Linked DNA regions of Drosophila melanogaster. The protein of the gene in region 1 interacts with the protein of each later gene in a pairwise test. Each region holds a gene or a part of one and is shown in the gene's direction. Other genes may lie near its edges.

The links. Proteins that work in one complex are often made in the same cells at the same time.
Region 2: the proteins of Hsp67Ba (region 1) and Nup133 interact in a two-hybrid assay, tested with the Drosophila melanogaster proteins (one large-scale study listed by BioGRID).
Region 3: the proteins of Hsp67Ba (region 1) and grsm interact in a two-hybrid assay, tested with the Drosophila melanogaster proteins (one large-scale study listed by BioGRID).

The regions. Positions count from the first base shown.
Region 1 is NT_037436.4:9,377,274-9,381,473, reverse strand, and holds Hsp67Ba (heat shock gene 67Ba), read left to right. Parts: upstream 1-1,939; 5' UTR 1,940-2,034; coding exon 2,035-3,372; 3' UTR 3,373-3,672; downstream 3,673-4,200.
Region 2 is NT_033777.3:22,688,833-22,695,272, forward strand, and holds Nup133 (nucleoporin 133kD), read left to right. Parts: upstream 1-1,774; 5' UTR 1,775-1,867; coding exon 1,868-2,043; intron 2,044-2,098; coding exon 2,099-2,273; intron 2,274-2,333; coding exon 2,334-2,837; intron 2,838-2,888; coding exon 2,889-3,201; intron 3,202-3,256; coding exon 3,257-4,095; intron 4,096-4,165; coding exon 4,166-4,844; intron 4,845-4,914; coding exon 4,915-5,456; intron 5,457-5,519; coding exon 5,520-5,894; 3' UTR 5,895-5,940; downstream 5,941-6,440. Other genes in the region: wfs1 (wolfram syndrome 1), read right to left, coding at 1-1,185, 1,243-1,341, 1,401-1,464; cd (cardinal), read left to right, coding at 6,195-6,361. UniProt on the Drosophila melanogaster protein: Probable component of the nuclear pore complex (NPC). Plays a role in NPC assembly and/or maintenance.
Region 3 is NT_033777.3:12,964,713-12,969,438, reverse strand, and holds the start of grsm (granny smith), read left to right. Parts: upstream 1-1,726; 5' UTR 1,727-1,838; coding exon 1,839-1,985; intron 1,986-2,060; coding exon 2,061-2,279; intron 2,280-2,690; exon of another isoform or gene 2,691-2,836; coding exon of another isoform or gene 2,837-2,886; intron 2,887-2,962; coding exon of another isoform or gene 2,963-3,410; exon of another isoform or gene 3,411-3,501; intron 3,502-3,515; exon of another isoform or gene 3,516-3,666; coding exon of another isoform or gene 3,667-3,996; intron 3,997-4,062; coding exon of another isoform or gene 4,063-4,726. Other genes in the region: CG7381 (uncharacterized protein), read left to right, coding at 1-18, 89-208, 272-676, 746-877, 942-1,094, 1,156-1,256; CG14384 (uncharacterized protein), read left to right, coding at 2,837-2,886, 2,963-3,410; Cyp304a1 (cytochrome P450 304a1), read right to left, coding at 3,667-3,996, 4,063-4,726.

The DNA.
Region 1 (4,200 bases):
ACTGCAGAACAGTTCTTCTTTTTATGGCCTGGCATTTAAGCTATTAACTTTAATTAATATCCAAGAATGGGGCTCTGTAGTGGGGAAATCTAATTAAAATACATAAGTGGTTAATGCCGGGTAGGTAATAACCCATGGGATGTAAGCGTATTATTACTCCAATCAGTAAGAAAATGTAAAAATGATACGATTTGGAACATATGTACATTCATACAATAAAGGATTCGAAGGATGTAAAAATTATTTGAATAAAATGTAATGCAACTATTTTGAATTTCAAAGGTCGATAGATGAAAACATAAACCAAAAAACATTAAAAACATTTAATAAATTCTAATAGTCAATATTTGGTTTATTGAAAACGAGGCTGTAACCTTTTATTATATTTGACCAATTTCTTAAGACAAATACATATGTATGTATGTAAGATTTAGCTGCACATTTGCTTGGTACAACTTGATAAATATTCAGCTTATATACACATTGTTTAGAATTCAGAATTACTTCGTAATAACCAAATCAAATGACAATTTGTTTACAATTTGTTGTTACAGTAGCGATTGAATAACCATATAATACATGGGCATTGCTATAGAACTCAATCTCTGGTTGTTATATAATTCGAGTTTTTATTTATGGCCCCATTTTCTTGTCACCACTCCTCCTCCACTGAAGTAGAGTACTCTTGGTGCCCAGGGCTTGGACAATCCAACGCCAACGCAGTGGAAGTTGTCTATTCAAAAAGGTGGCCACATAATGTGCGAGCATGCTCGTCCGGCGGATTTCTTCCCCTTGGTTAGGTAAATGGGAGCAAGTACCCAGTGTGTATGTACATGGGGAATGTATCGTATGTACAAGGGGGCATCTCGTACGCAGCAATCTCTGAAGGTTTTTGCTCTTTTCCGACTGCAGCTGGCAGATACACCATATCAATACAAACATACTATATAATATAATATATGGCCATACAGAATTGTATCCCGCAGCTGAGTTCGGGGCCCCAGTAAATTTTTAGCAAAGTCTCCACTGTCTGGCCCCCGTCTGGATGTTGTTGGTGTTGTTGTTGTTTTTTGCATTTTGGAGCTTTTCAACCGGTTGCCATCGCTTGCACTTGGCTATGTAACCACATACGAATCCAGCAATATCATCATCATCTGTGTGGCAGGGTATGTATGTATGTATGTAGATACAAATGTATATGGAGATACCATATGTATGGGTTGCCCCAGACGCTGTCACTGCGCATGTTTACGCGACGCCGGCTTGCCAATCCTCCAGCTCTGGCAACAGCGGATTTGTAGCTTCCAGGCGGCCCTGCCAGCCAGCCAGCCAGCCAGCTGTTGTTGTAGTTGTTTATCGCCGGCGACTCGAATCCGCATCGGCAACCGGCACGAGACTCAGACTCTCAGCTGTTCGCTCAATGCCGGCAGTGGGAATTCAGCTGCAACACGACCACTTTACATATACCCCGTCTATATGGATATTTGTATATATGAGTACATATATGTATATCGCCGGTACAAGGAAGATGGCATCTCTTGGGGGGGATATTCGTGCATATATGCTTCGATTTCAAGCCGGTTTGCCTCTTTTACGTATCTTTTTTATTTGGTTTTGCAACGTTGCAGTTTGGTTTGTCTGGTTTCTTGCCGACTACGAGTACGAGTACTTTCTTTGTTCTCTGGCTATCTGCGGTAGAGGAAAAGTATCTCTTATTTCGGTGTATATAGCAGAAAATGGCATAGTACATGGCTTGACTGACTGTTTTAATGGGTAGCCCTTCCCCTTGGTGAGTTCTCTGGAGGAGTTGCATAGTTTTTCGCCTGGGAGCTGGCATGGAAGCCGACTGGAAGTGACCAGGTTTTCCATTCAGCGCTGCACAGCCGCTTAAAAGCGTCGACATTCAGCCATAAGGGCTCAAACGCAGTCCAGTTGGAGGCCAGAACGGATCGCCGCCGGTTCCCAGACGACACCAATCCCCGCAAGACCTAAAAAATAAAAGATATATCTTAGCCAGATAGGAAGAAAGTGAAAATGTCGCTGATACCGTTCATACTAGATTTGGCCGAGGAGCTGCACGATTTCAATCGCAGCCTGGCAATGGATATAGATGATTCGGCCGGATTCGGGTTGTATCCACTGGAGGCCACCTCACAGTTGCCACAGCTGAGTCGTGGGTTGGGGCGTGGGAATGCAATGATGTGGGTGCCCATCAAGGGTCAGTCGGCGGCATCGCAGCATCGCCATCATCCGTACAATCGTGTGGCCGGAGCCAAGACTGCTTGCTGCAATAAGTCGCTGGTGGAGCTGGAAAAGGAATTGGGCGATAAGGGCACGTCCGGGGCAAGCGGCAGCACCAGTGGCCAACCGGCGGCCAGCAAATCCGCCTACTCCGTGGTGAATAGGAACGGCTTCCAGGTGAGCATGAATGTGAAGCAGTTCGCCGCCAACGAACTGACCGTCAAGACCATCGATAACTGCATCGTGGTCGAGGGTCAGCACGACGAGAAGGAGGATGGCCACGGGGTGATCTCGCGCCACTTCATCCGCAAGTACATCCTGCCCAAGGGCTATGATCCCAACGAGGTGCACTCGACCCTCTCCTCGGACGGCATTCTGACGGTGAAGGCGCCGCCACCACTTCCAGTCGTCAAAGGCAGCCTGGAACGACAGGAGCGCATCGTAGACATCCAGCAGATATCGCAGCAGCAGAAGGATAAGGATGCGCAGCCGCCAAAGCCGTCAGAGGTAGAGCAGCAGGCGGCAGCTAGTGCCACCACTTCCACTTTAAATCCGACTGCACCCACACCCACTCCTTCGCTCTCGCTCACTCTCGCCGAGAGCAACGGCAACGGTCAGGAAGAGACAGAGATGGAAATGCCGGCTGTTTCGCCCCCCATTTCCAATGAGGCTGCTGCTGCCGCTGCTGTTGCAGTGGAAGCCCCTTCCACCGCAGGAACCACTTCCAGTGCCAACAATGGCGTTGCAGAACCAGAATCAGAGTCCATGGAAGTGGCGTTGGCCAAAAACGAAGAGACTGCCAATGTGGATGAACCCACACCCAATCCCGTTATAAGCATCGAAGAGGAGCAAAAGGCAGAGGATGCAAATGCCAACGAAGTGCCCGTTGCCTCGAATAACGGCAATGGAGCAGTCGCAGCAGCCGAGGATGTGGAAATGCCGCTGGCCAAGAAACCGGAAATCTCCACGGAAGACAGCAAAGAGGAGCAGGCGGAGAAGGTTGATAAAGTAGAGAAAGTGGAGGAGAAGGGCGGCGAGGAACTGGCAGCCGTAGATGCGGCCATTCTACTGGCCAAAAACCAAGGCGAAAATGGAGCCACTGCAGCCAAAACCGAGGAACTGGCCAAGTGAAGACTGAACTAAAAGAAAGAACATAAATAGTAATTAAGAACAAATAATAATCTGCACGGGTAGGCGTGCGTTTTATTCCATACGTGTTTCTTGTGTTTTCTTTTCTTGCATTTCACACAAAAAAAAAGAAGCGAGAAAGCTGACGGGAAAAGCACTCAATTACTAATAGTGGGAGATTGCTGGCGTTATATGTATGTATGATTTTCTAAAAAACATATGTGACAACAACTACAAGTATTCCAGTAAAACTTAAAGACAGAAACACGAAATAATGTACTTAATAAAGAGGAAAACCAGAATAAAAAAAACTGACGTTTTGTTTTGTTTGCCGTTAGCCGGCTGTTTCTTTTGCGCTCTTTCTAGAAAATTGCAACAACTCTCTAGAAACTTCGGCTCTCTCACTCATACAGGCGCACTAGCTCTGCTTTTGCGCGTACGACAACAACTACATTTAAAATTTCTCGAAACTCATGGCATTTATTGGGAAAGGTTAGTTAGTTTTATTTTTTGTTTTTAGAGCAGCATTCAATTTAGACTTTTATAAAAGAAATTTCTAATTTGATCCCTCGTTTATCAAACGATACAAAGCTATATTCATAATTTTTTCTCTCTGTGCACGTTCTCTCTCTTCTCTTCTCTCTCTCTACTCTTTCCTTTTTCTGTCACTTTCCGGACTCTTCTAGAAAAGCTCCAGCGGGTATAAAAGCAGCGTCGCTTGACGAACAGAGCACAGATCGAATTCAAAAATCGAGCAGTGAACAACTCAAAGCAACTTTGCGCAAAAGCAAAACTTCAAACGAGAAAAAAAAGGATTAAAAACCTTTGCTT
Region 2 (6,440 bases), on another chromosome or scaffold:
AATTCAAACAGAATTCAATGCCATTGCCAATGACAAACGATGAGAAAGTAGGTACGCGTAGGTCAAGAAAGCGCCAGCGCGTAGACACAACCTCGTCCATTTCGTACGGATATTTGGCAAGAACATTTACGGCAAAGGAAACAATCACTAGCCAGTCAGGCAGTTGGTGGGAGGAGGCGTACATGGACACGCACATGGTGATGAAGGTCAAGGCTCCAGAGATTATAGTCAGCTCCGAGTGTGGCAGCCAGGCGTCTGTGACCAACGGGTAGACAATCAGGTTGCAAATGAAGGCACAAAAGAAGTACAGGTACGGCTTCATATTGTTGCGTAAAAAGCGATGCTCCGCAATGTCCGCCTCGATGTTCTGATCCCCGTAGCTCAGGAACAGTCCCGACCAGATGCGAAAGTCCACGAACTGTTGTTTGGTTTTCAGCATCTTACACGTGGCCCAGATCATGATGCCCAGACTGAGATAATAGCTGACCAGGGGCAGCATATGCCGGCTGCTCCACCAAGAGATTGCAACGAGCACGCTGCAGCGCACGCTCAGAGGGATGACGTTGGGTATGGACACAATCAAGTTAAGCAGCCGGTGGTAGAACAGGGTGAAGAAGATAAGCGGGTGGAAGATCATGCGGTAGAAGCAGGGTACATGGTCCAAGCTCCTAGGATCCGGGACGGATAATGTGAGAGCATCATTAACGCTGGGCATTTGTCCGGCACTGTAATTGGAAGCTGCCGAAACGAGGTGAGCTTCGGTGATGAGGCGGCGTCGCTCCACATTGGCTAGGTCAATGGTGGGCACATCTTCGAGCGGTTCGCACTCCGGCTCCTGCTCGCCCTCGCTGCTCGACGAGGAGCGGTCATCATCGCGTCGACGCCGCTTGCGTTGCAGATTGTAGATGCGCCGCATTTTGCGCTCCAGCTGCTTGGGCGTTATATGCTCGTTTCCATTTGATAGGCAGGCAAAAAGCTCCCGGGCTGCTTTTCTGGCAGCCCGCTCACCAGGCGTCATAGCCAGGCAGCGACGCACTTCGTCCGTATTCTCTGCCGTAATACCGCTGCCATCGTTGTAGCACTGGCGTAGCAGCTTGACTGCATCCTCGTGTCCATTGTGTGCTGCACTCACCAGCCAGTTGACGGCCTTCTGGCTCTGATTGCCTTTGGCAAGATTGGGCTCTACTGCGGACATAGCAATCTTCATTATCTTGTAATTCTCGAGCAAATCCTTACACTCACCTATGGAATTATCGAGTAACTCTTTGGCCAGATCGTATTGCATCTGGGGGCATCCCTCCTCGGCGATGTGATGCTTAAGTTTGTTCAAGGAGGCACGATCTGTAAGGGAAAACATCTTCACTTTATGAACGTGTATCAATCAAAGCTCAGAGATTTACCTTCCAGATTCCAACGCCTGCGCTTGGTGACACCTGTCGGCTCATTTTGCGTCCAGGTGGCCATCTATGTCGAGTTTTTCGCTTTGTTTACGAAAATCTATGAAATAATTCTAGTCTTGACTTAGCGATGGCATCGTGTAGAACTTGTCTTAGAGATGGACTCACAAATATTAGTTAATATAATTATTAATTTAAAAATTTGTTTACCAAAGTTTAATTATTCATCGTATATAGTATATAAAATACATTTATGTAGTATAAATAATTTCCTATATTTAAATTTGTGTTCTTTGTGTATAATGTCGTGACTTCTAATCGATAAATAACTCAAATGTACTCAGCTGTGATTTCGATATTGCGACATCAAAAATCGATTCACACACATGCCGGCTAGATTGTTTGCTGTTGCAAAAGTAGTTGTTTATTTTTGATTTATAGGCATTTCCCAAATAAGAGCCAGCACAAAAATGGAGAGAAATCTGCAGAAGCAATTATACGGCATATCGCGCGAATCTTCACCAGGTGCACGAAGGTACAGCATGCCAGCAGCCTCGGCAGACAGCACGCGTAAATCAATTTTTGGCGGCAGCGCCAGTTGCGCCCAGATGTCGGGGAGCCTCAAAAGGACTGCCCTGACCAACAGGTATGTGCTAACTTATTCTCCTGGAATTTCCCACTCATCAAACAATCCTTTTCAGCCGGCTCAGCTTGTCGGTGCGTTCCACTCAGTCCATTGCCGGCATCCGATCCGATTACAATTCGGTAGAGAGCTTCGGTTGTCCACTGCCGGTGGTGGTCAATGAGGCACTAACCTTCGCAGGTCCAGGAGCGGGCACAGTAACAGCCAAAGTGACGCAAAACGGTTGGGCTTGGGTAATATATCAGCAACTCTCATTGTATCTGGTTCAGCAATCAGTACGATTACCTTTTCAGGTTGTCCAAGGCAGACGCCTCTTGATTTGGCAGTATAAGGACACGGCCAAGTCGGGCTCGCCACCTCGTGTGGGCAAACTGGCAAGACGTGGTGGTGGTCTGGCCCAGTGCCGTGAATTGACTTTACCTTACAGTGACCTGGGTCACAAGAGTGATTTAATCAGTGTTTTCCAGACGGAGGGTCAGCAAATGGCCTCCTGCATAGCGGTATCAGCCACGGGAGAAGTTCGGTACTGGTCATCGATTGCGCACGATGGGAACTCCGTGGATCTTTCCATCTTAACTGGCCAAGAGTTTGTCCAGCTGCTCAGTCTACCAACGCAGCAGGGCTACCTAGCCGTTACAACCACCTGCAATCTGGTATTCCTGCGAGTCGGACTGACCAACGGACGTTACACACTTCACCATAAGACTATCAAGCCTGCCACTAGCTTCCTTGGTGGTTTTGGCAAAAAGTTTGCCTCCATTTTGATTGGAATGAACACGGGTGCAGACAAGGATCAAGTAAGTATCTTCGTCCAGCATGGGACAAAAATCTCATGAAGTGTTTTTTAGACTTTGGTCGGCATGTGCTGCGAGAGCAATTTAGAAAGTGGAGAAACCATTGTGGCCGTGCTCTCTGATCGTGCAATCCAGCGCTGGAGTCTGTCCAACAATGGCAACACCGAAAACCTTCTGTACGAGGATGCGGATATGTTGCGCAGGATACGCGAAGAGTTTATAACGAACTTTTGGAAGTTCCGACTCCCAGCGGATAGTTTGGAGATCGATCTCCATCTGTTGGACTTTCACGTGGTTAAGAACAAAGCTTATATACTGGCTGGAGCTGTGAATGCTGCTCACGCTCCACAAATGTGCTACGCTCTGGGTAAGAAGTATGTGACAGCAAATCTTGATATGGTATATAATGTTAAGTATTTTAGTGACTGGCACTGCTCAAGCTGAAAGAATGCTTCTGGAATCGTTCACGCCGCTCAATATGAACAAATTCTTTAGTGCCAAGACTGAGGAGGATTGCCTCAGCGTGCGTTTTGTAGTAGGCAGCAGCCACATCTATTTGTATACTTCTAAAGTTGTGTATCCTCTGCACTTGACCAACTCGGTGCCGACAGCAGAGCTAGAGGCGGAAAAGATCGAGTTCCATCAGCACGATGATCGCATTTTGAGTGCCGTCATCTGCAGCCAATTGCCATTGTTCTTTAGTCGCACACATGGCCTAGTTTCTATTACACCGGGCGATTTTGATGGTACTGAAATGATGAACATGAGCTCCTGCAACACGCCAGATTTATATGCTCCCAATTCGTGTAATGCTAGTTTCGCAGTTGCCGATCATTCTGCTTTGACTAACAGTACTAATAATCTTCACCTTTTCGAACTGGATCCGGATGAAATGTACAACGAACTAAGCGATGAAGTTGGTCAACTAAAGGCAGCGTTCCTATATCACATGAAACGCAACAGCAATATGGTCAAGACGATCGTCGATGAGCTGCTTCGTAATGTCACTGCAGCCGATCCAAGTGGTGCACCCATGGATGCTTACAAGTTGGATCGAATTGTTATTACCATCGCCGAAGACTTGGCGGAGGATATACCAATAGCCGATCCCCGATGGGAGGAGGCACTTGCAGATCAGGAAATGAATAGGCATGCCATCGGCAGCTCTCGTTCAATGCAGATTATCAACCAACTAAGGGACAAGATCATTGCTTTCCAGCACTTCATAACGTTTCTGCATTCCAGTTTAGTTTGGGACAAGGTATAAGGACAAAATATTTATTTGTTTATTTATTTGATTTTGTTAACAAAATCAATACTTTTCGTTCCAGTTAAATGTCATACCTTGCGGAAGCCATTCGCTGAAACCCACCGGCTGTATTCTAGCCGATATCAGCGAGAAGATAGTGGCTGCTATGGCTCTGCGATCCATTCAGACCAAACTGCCCAAGCTGATTGAAGAGGCTATCGATGCCACCGTAGCGTTATGGCATGAGGAGCCTCAGGGCAGCCTAACTTACCAGGATATATTTTACGTAAAGCTGTCTAGGTTTCAAAACGTGTTCGAGGCCCTGGCGGATATTGCTGACGATCGAATCGCTGCTCAGAATCAGACCACCATATCAGTGGCCCACTTTGTCAACGAGATAAACTCCATTGTCCTAGACGTTTTGGGACAAGTGTTCAAGTATCGAAAGCAGCACGCAAGCAGCTTTAGACTGAGCCACGAAAAACTACCTTCCTACGAGAATCTACCTTGGACTGCGATGGCTGGCAGTGCGGGAGTTCGTGACACGCTGACTCGCCTCATTGACATTAGCGTTCGCTATGGCAGCCACTGCGTTAGCGAGACTGAGCTAAAGCAGCAATTGTACCAACAGATATTCGAACTAATTGATTTGGTTTTGGACGGACGGAAGACTTACTTAAAAAGCGTGCGCGACACGGAAAAGTTCAATGTTCTGCAGCAGCAGTTTGAGGCTCAGCGAAGGGAACTCATCTCCGTGCTAAGTAAGTTGTGTATTCTATTCATAATTTAAAATTCTTAAATATTTCTTATGTCTTTTTTTTTATTTTGTAGTCAAAGATCGCCAATACGAGTACGCCGCAAAGATCGCCGAGAAGTACCTCGATTTTCAGAGCCTGGTGCTTATCTGCGATGAGACGCAGGACAAGGAGCGACTGGAAGATTACACCCGCAAGTACGAGGAATATGACTTCTCACAGTTTGCCATCAATTGGCATCTGCGCCAGAACCGGCACGGCGAGGTATTCGAACGCTTCAAGGGCAACCAGACGGCTTTGGCTCAGTTCATGCGTGACCATCCGTCCCTTGGGTGGATCCAGCTAATATTCAACGGCGACTTCGAGCGGGCGGCCAAGGTGCTGTACGAGTTGGCCCAATGCGAAACGGAGTTTGTGGCGCGCAAGAAGTCTATGCTGTCGCTGGCCAAATTGGCCGCCTTCGCGGCAGCCGAATCCGATTTAACTGCCCAAGTTGAAAAGATCAACGCAGATCTTACGCTGGTCGAATATCAATCGCAACTGGGCCATGACGTACTGGAAAGCTTTGGCTTCGATCCAGCAGAACAGAAGGTGCTCAAGGCAGAGGAGATTATCAGCGTAAGATTTCACAAATTAATATACTTAATTCACTTATAAATATTACCGTCTTATTATCATTAGCTTTACATCGCCGAGGAAAATGAAACTGCCAGCGAAACGGAATTCCGTAAAGCTTTGGAACTTCTGAGCTACGTGGAACAGCCGTACGACATGCGGCACAAGATCTGGTGTGCAGCTATAAAACGCGATAACTGGACGGACTACGATCCCAACAATGCGGTGCATTACATGCAGAAGTTGCTCTTTTACAAGATCATCGAAATCTCGCAGCTGATGGGCAACGATTCCGAGAACGTTTTGCCACCCATGGAAGACTTTCTGGAGAGCGTGGAGCTCGGCGATTTGCCGCAGCAGAAACCGTTTCAGTATCTGTTGAAACTGACCTATGAGTATGTGGCCGACATGTTCAAACAGCCAGACGACATGGAACTCTAATCAAGCACCTCACATGTCTTTCTATTAAAGTTTACGTTAAGAATTTAAAATGATGGCTGGTGTTCTTGGACGGTGGACAGTTGCCTGCCTTGTTGTTGCGTCGCTCAAACGCAGGCATTATAAAATATTATAAACTAAGTTGCTTTGTCACAGCCGGTCTCTGCCGGCGAAAGTATCTGAAGTGTGGCGAACGGAGAGTCGGAAGCCCACCAAGTGTGTTCGGGGCAACTCTAGAGTCGGCCTGACTGGCAGCTGTGCTGTTTGCATTTGTCGCCGGTGCGCATCAGTTTAACTTTGATTATGACGGACGAAACAACGCCGCTTACCGATGCCGTTCCCAGTGGCTCCGGATATGTTGTCCTGCCGCCGTATCAGGGACCGGAGCGTGTCTTTCCGGGTGGTGTTTCTCCGCGTGCGCGACGCAACAAGATGCGACAGTTCCAGTGCTGCATGGGCATCACCTTTATGTGAGTGTGAAACGAAGAGTTGGAACTGCGGCAAAAGAACACCTATCCTTAGAAACTATTGCTATAGGCTCTAAATTGT
Region 3 (4,726 bases), on another chromosome or scaffold:
ATGGAAAATGTTTTGCCGGTGAGTAAACTGGGTTTCCCCCAATTTAATTCTTCTATTAATGAAATTAACTGAAATGAAAATTCTTTAGAACTGGGGGAAATTGCGGAGAGCACGGATGAGTGCGAGTACGAGTTCGATCAGTTGACCAAAACTTGCAATTGCCAAAAGAATTATTTCTACGAGCGGGATCTGCGCAATTGCAGAAAACGTAGGTGGTTCCAACGCTAGCTGCTGAATCGCACTTAAGATATATCCTTTTCCATCAAAACAGCCATTCAATACCACTTATCCTGCACCTCGAACAGCCAATGCAGTCCATTTGGCGCCTCCTATTGCCACCCGGAGATTCCGAGGAGGTGCACCTGCGAGGAGTACGCTCTCTACGATGCCATCAAGCAGCTCTGCGAATACAAACGTGGCCTGGGAGCCGAGTGTGAGTCGAACGATGGCTGTCCTGTGGATCACTCCGTCTGCTCCAATCGCGTGTGCGTTTGTGCGGACAACTACTTTGAGAAGGACGATCAGTGTATGCGTGGCATCGGTGCCGACTGCTCGGTGGAGGATGACTGCATACCTGAGAACACCGAATGCCAGGAGAAGGACGAGGAGGATCAGTCGCGCACCTGCCAGTGCCGAAAGGGATACGTGCACTTTAAGGATGAGTGCCTAAAAGAGGGTTAGTACTCAGAAGCTGAAATGCAAAGCAGCAAAATTATGCCCTGCCCCACATTACATTTCATTATAGCCGAGGAGCTGGAGGACGAGTGCGTCGAGGATGAGCAGTGCAAGCCGCTCCTGGCGAGCTGCAATTCGGAGGGCAAGTGTGGATGCAACGATGAGCAGCATGCTAAGAACGGAGTCTGTGAGACGAAGCGAGGTAATTGAGTCGCTAAGCTTTCTTTAATTATTTGTAATAATTCTAATATGTTGCAATCTTGCAGAGCTGGGAGAGTCGTGCACCAAGGCCACCGAGTGCTATGTAGAAAAGGATCCCGAGAATGTCGAGTGCCGCAACTCCGTGTGCCAGTGCAAGCTGGGCTACTCGGCGAACGCCAATCAGAATCAATGCATTCGCGTGATGCCCAATAAGAAAAGTAAGTGTCCTTGCAAAACCAATTGAGTAAGGATGATCTATGAATGTCACGCTTTTCGCAGATTCTTCCGGTAGACCAAGTGCTCTCAAAATCATCACCTTCATGCTGATTGGCTCCGCTTTCCTTATCACCAGTGCGGCCATAAAGCAGGCCTACTACTAGAACCAAACCAAAACCTAAATCCTTTCACCTGCGTGTTTGGGGAATGGCGAGGATAATCGAGGGAGGAGTTGGCCAAGGACCTTGGGGGGATCGGGGTGATTTGGGGATCGGCGGGAGTGGCCAGTATTAGCCAAGTTACTGGCATGGATGCAGGTCCATGCGCAACGTGAATATAAATCAATTAGTTCGTAAGTTGATATTTAGGAGTCGAAGCAATATAAATTTGGAGAAAGGGTCCTCGGAACGGAACGACTCTCGCTTATCTAATACGGCTAAGTGTAATGACAAATTATCTGTAAGTTTTGAAGTTAAACCGCTTGTTGCTAGGCTAAGCGAACAGTTTTTAACCAAATTGTAATATATACATCATAATAAACTAAGGCCAACGAAGAGTTGTGTATCAAATCCAGAAACTGGCAATTATTATTAAACAAGTAGTTTTGAGATTTCACTTCTATCAGTTAGCAACAGCAACTCAACTCAAATTTGTACCTTTCAATTTTTCAAGCTCGAATGTTTTGTACGTAATTCTTAGTTTAGCATCCTAAATTTCAGTACGTTAGTTGAAAAGTATAAGTAGAGATGGCACCGTATCCAAACGGCTTTTTAAGTTACGCGGTGGCTATACATCTTAAATCCCCGCACCTCCAAATGGAGGAGTCACTGCGTCAGGGAGCGGGGTACTGGAATGCATTGAGTTCGCGAGAAAAGAATCAGTATCGATCGAAAGTAAGTTCCTAGGGATTACACACTTTCCCCCTGACCGGCGAACTTTATCTTCTGCCCTTCGTTAATACCCTGCAGTACCAGAAACGGTGTCTCAGCAAAAGCTCCACTTCGCGTCATCGGCGTCAATCGGAGAAACTCAAACATATGGGATGCGGCCGCAAGAAAATAGTGCCCAAGTGTTCCCGAAAGCCCACGACTCCGGCCTGCAAGCCAAGGAGCGTCAATAGGTGTCCCCGGAAAAGCAGCTCCAACCGCTCGAGTCGTGAATGCATGCTGATGAAGTCACCAAAAGGCGTAAGTGCCAGTAGTTTAAATAATATTAACATTTATTTTATTATTTATAAAAGTTACTTTTAAGTAAGATATATTTTCATGTGTATGTCAACTTCACTTGTTTTGATAGTGAATTTTAAACACTGGGTTCATAGCGAACAAGTTGTCGTTTTCGTAACCAAACAATTATCACCTTGTTTTCAACTCTATTTTCTATTTTTTTTGTTGCCACTCAATTGTCTTAATATTGATAAGGGCATTTTGGTCAAAGTGTTTGCACATTATCTTGCAGTTTGCTATTTTATTTTTGTTATCAGCTCGGCTAGTAAAACAATCTGCAGTAATTTGACTGTATCTTTTGATTTATATTCGATTTGCGACCCATTTAAAATGGAGATTAAAATCTAGGGACCTTGAATTTCTGTATTTCAGAAGCTCATATTTGCATTCGAATCGAAGAGAACAGTAAAACAGTGTCAAATATTTCTGGGTGAACTTTCCGAGTACAAATAGGTCAAAGTTGATTTTGTCGTAAGACAATTGCTAAACTGAACTGCCTATAAATTTCAAGTCTCAAAATGTCCCTCAATTGCCCGGTTCATAATAAGAACTCCAGTGGCTTAAACATGTAAGTTTCGGCCAAGAGATCGCTTTCGATATCCGGCGTATGTGTTCCTTGTGGTAACAATGTGGTTTGCATACAGTACCAGGTCCGCAACCTCGGATGACGTCAAGATCGCCATGTGCGCCTGCTTGGAATTGGCCAACTGTCGGGCCGAAAACTGTCAGCTGAAGAAGAAACTGACCGAATATGAGGCCAAGATCTGCAGTCTCGAACAACTGGTGGCCACCATTGCGGAGGAGCAGAACCAGATTCGCCAAGAAGTGATCGAGTTGCGCAATGAGACTCAGGGTGCAACGATGGAAGCCGCCAACGAGGTGGATCCTTTGGACAACTCATTCGTGAACCCGCAAGAGGAAATGGACGATGAGGAAGGATACGATCCGGATTCAGAATCCGAGTACAATGCTATCCAGTCCCCCAATCCCTCAATACATTCTTCGATGGTCTCGCTGGTTCGCTCATTGAGTTTTTCATCCACCAGCTCAGATTCTGATTGCATTGTATACAGCGATAATGAGGATTTCTAAGAAACCCATCTCATTCCAATCGCATCTTCTCAACAAGTTCCGTTCGCGAACTTTGATACCACACGATATGAGTAAACGACAATGTTAAAATAAATAGTTCGTTGTGGTGCATCACATAATAGTATTGGGCAATTCTAGAATATTTTTGAAATGTGACGGAATAAAATTCCTCAAAAAATATCCAAGCAAACTAGCTAACGTAATCAGTAAAATTACTTTGTCTTAAAAATAGATAACTCTAATATCTTGGCTACTTTCAATGCCGATCCTGTAGTTGCAGCCAGAAATCTGGTGGCGAAATAATCAGTCCATTGAGGTTCTGGGAGAGATCGGGCAACCGATCATTGGGGCCCAGGACGAAGTCAAAGTGCTGGCACATGGTCGCTGTCACCAGGAAGAGCATGTTGCGCGCAAATGTCTCGCCGGCACAGAGCCGTTTTCCCGCTCCAAAGGGCAGCGAGACATCCAGTTTCAGGCAGAGCTTGCCATCCGCGTCCAGGAATCTCTCCGGCCGGAACTGCTCCGGATCCGACCAAATACGGGCGTCCGAGTGGAAGGCATACAGGCTGGGCACGACAATGGTGTCCTGTACGGGTATATAGGGGAAAATAGTTTGGTTTTTAAAATTAAATAGATAGGAAACTTTTCTAACCTTGGGTATCCGGTAGCCCAGCAATTCGGTGTCCTCCAGCGCCTTGTGCGGGACATCCGAGGGAACCAGCGTCTCGATGCGCAGACCTTCGCGAATGGTGGCCTCCGTGAAGGGCAAGTTCTTGCGATCCTCCAGGTTGGGCAATCGTCCGCATCCCACCACCTCGTCGATCTCGTTCTGAACCCGCCGCAGAACTGCCGGATATAGCATGAGATACTGGACGAGTAGCGATAGCTGCACTCCGATGGCAGTGAAGGCCGGAAAGGAGAAGTCCACCAGGCCCATGATCAATTGATCCCGATTGAAACCGTAGCCCGGACCTCGGCGCATTTCAGCTATGTAGACATCCATGAAGTTGCGCTCCACACCCTCTTCGTAGCTGTCCAAATACTTATCCACAAAGTCGGCAAAGAACTGCCGCACGAATAGGTTGGACTCGTTTAGCTTGTTGTAGCCACTCCATTCGGGCCAAATGTGCCGAATCCACGGTATAATGCTCAACATTTTGCCGTAGTCGTCCGCATTCCGCTGGAACTGTATGCCCATCTGGCAGAGCTTCACCAATTTGCCCATTTCCTCGCGACTCAGGCACTCATTGTAGACAATGTAAAAGTGAGCGTTGGCCGAGAAGGGATTAAAGAGCAGCGGCAGAAGCACGCGATAT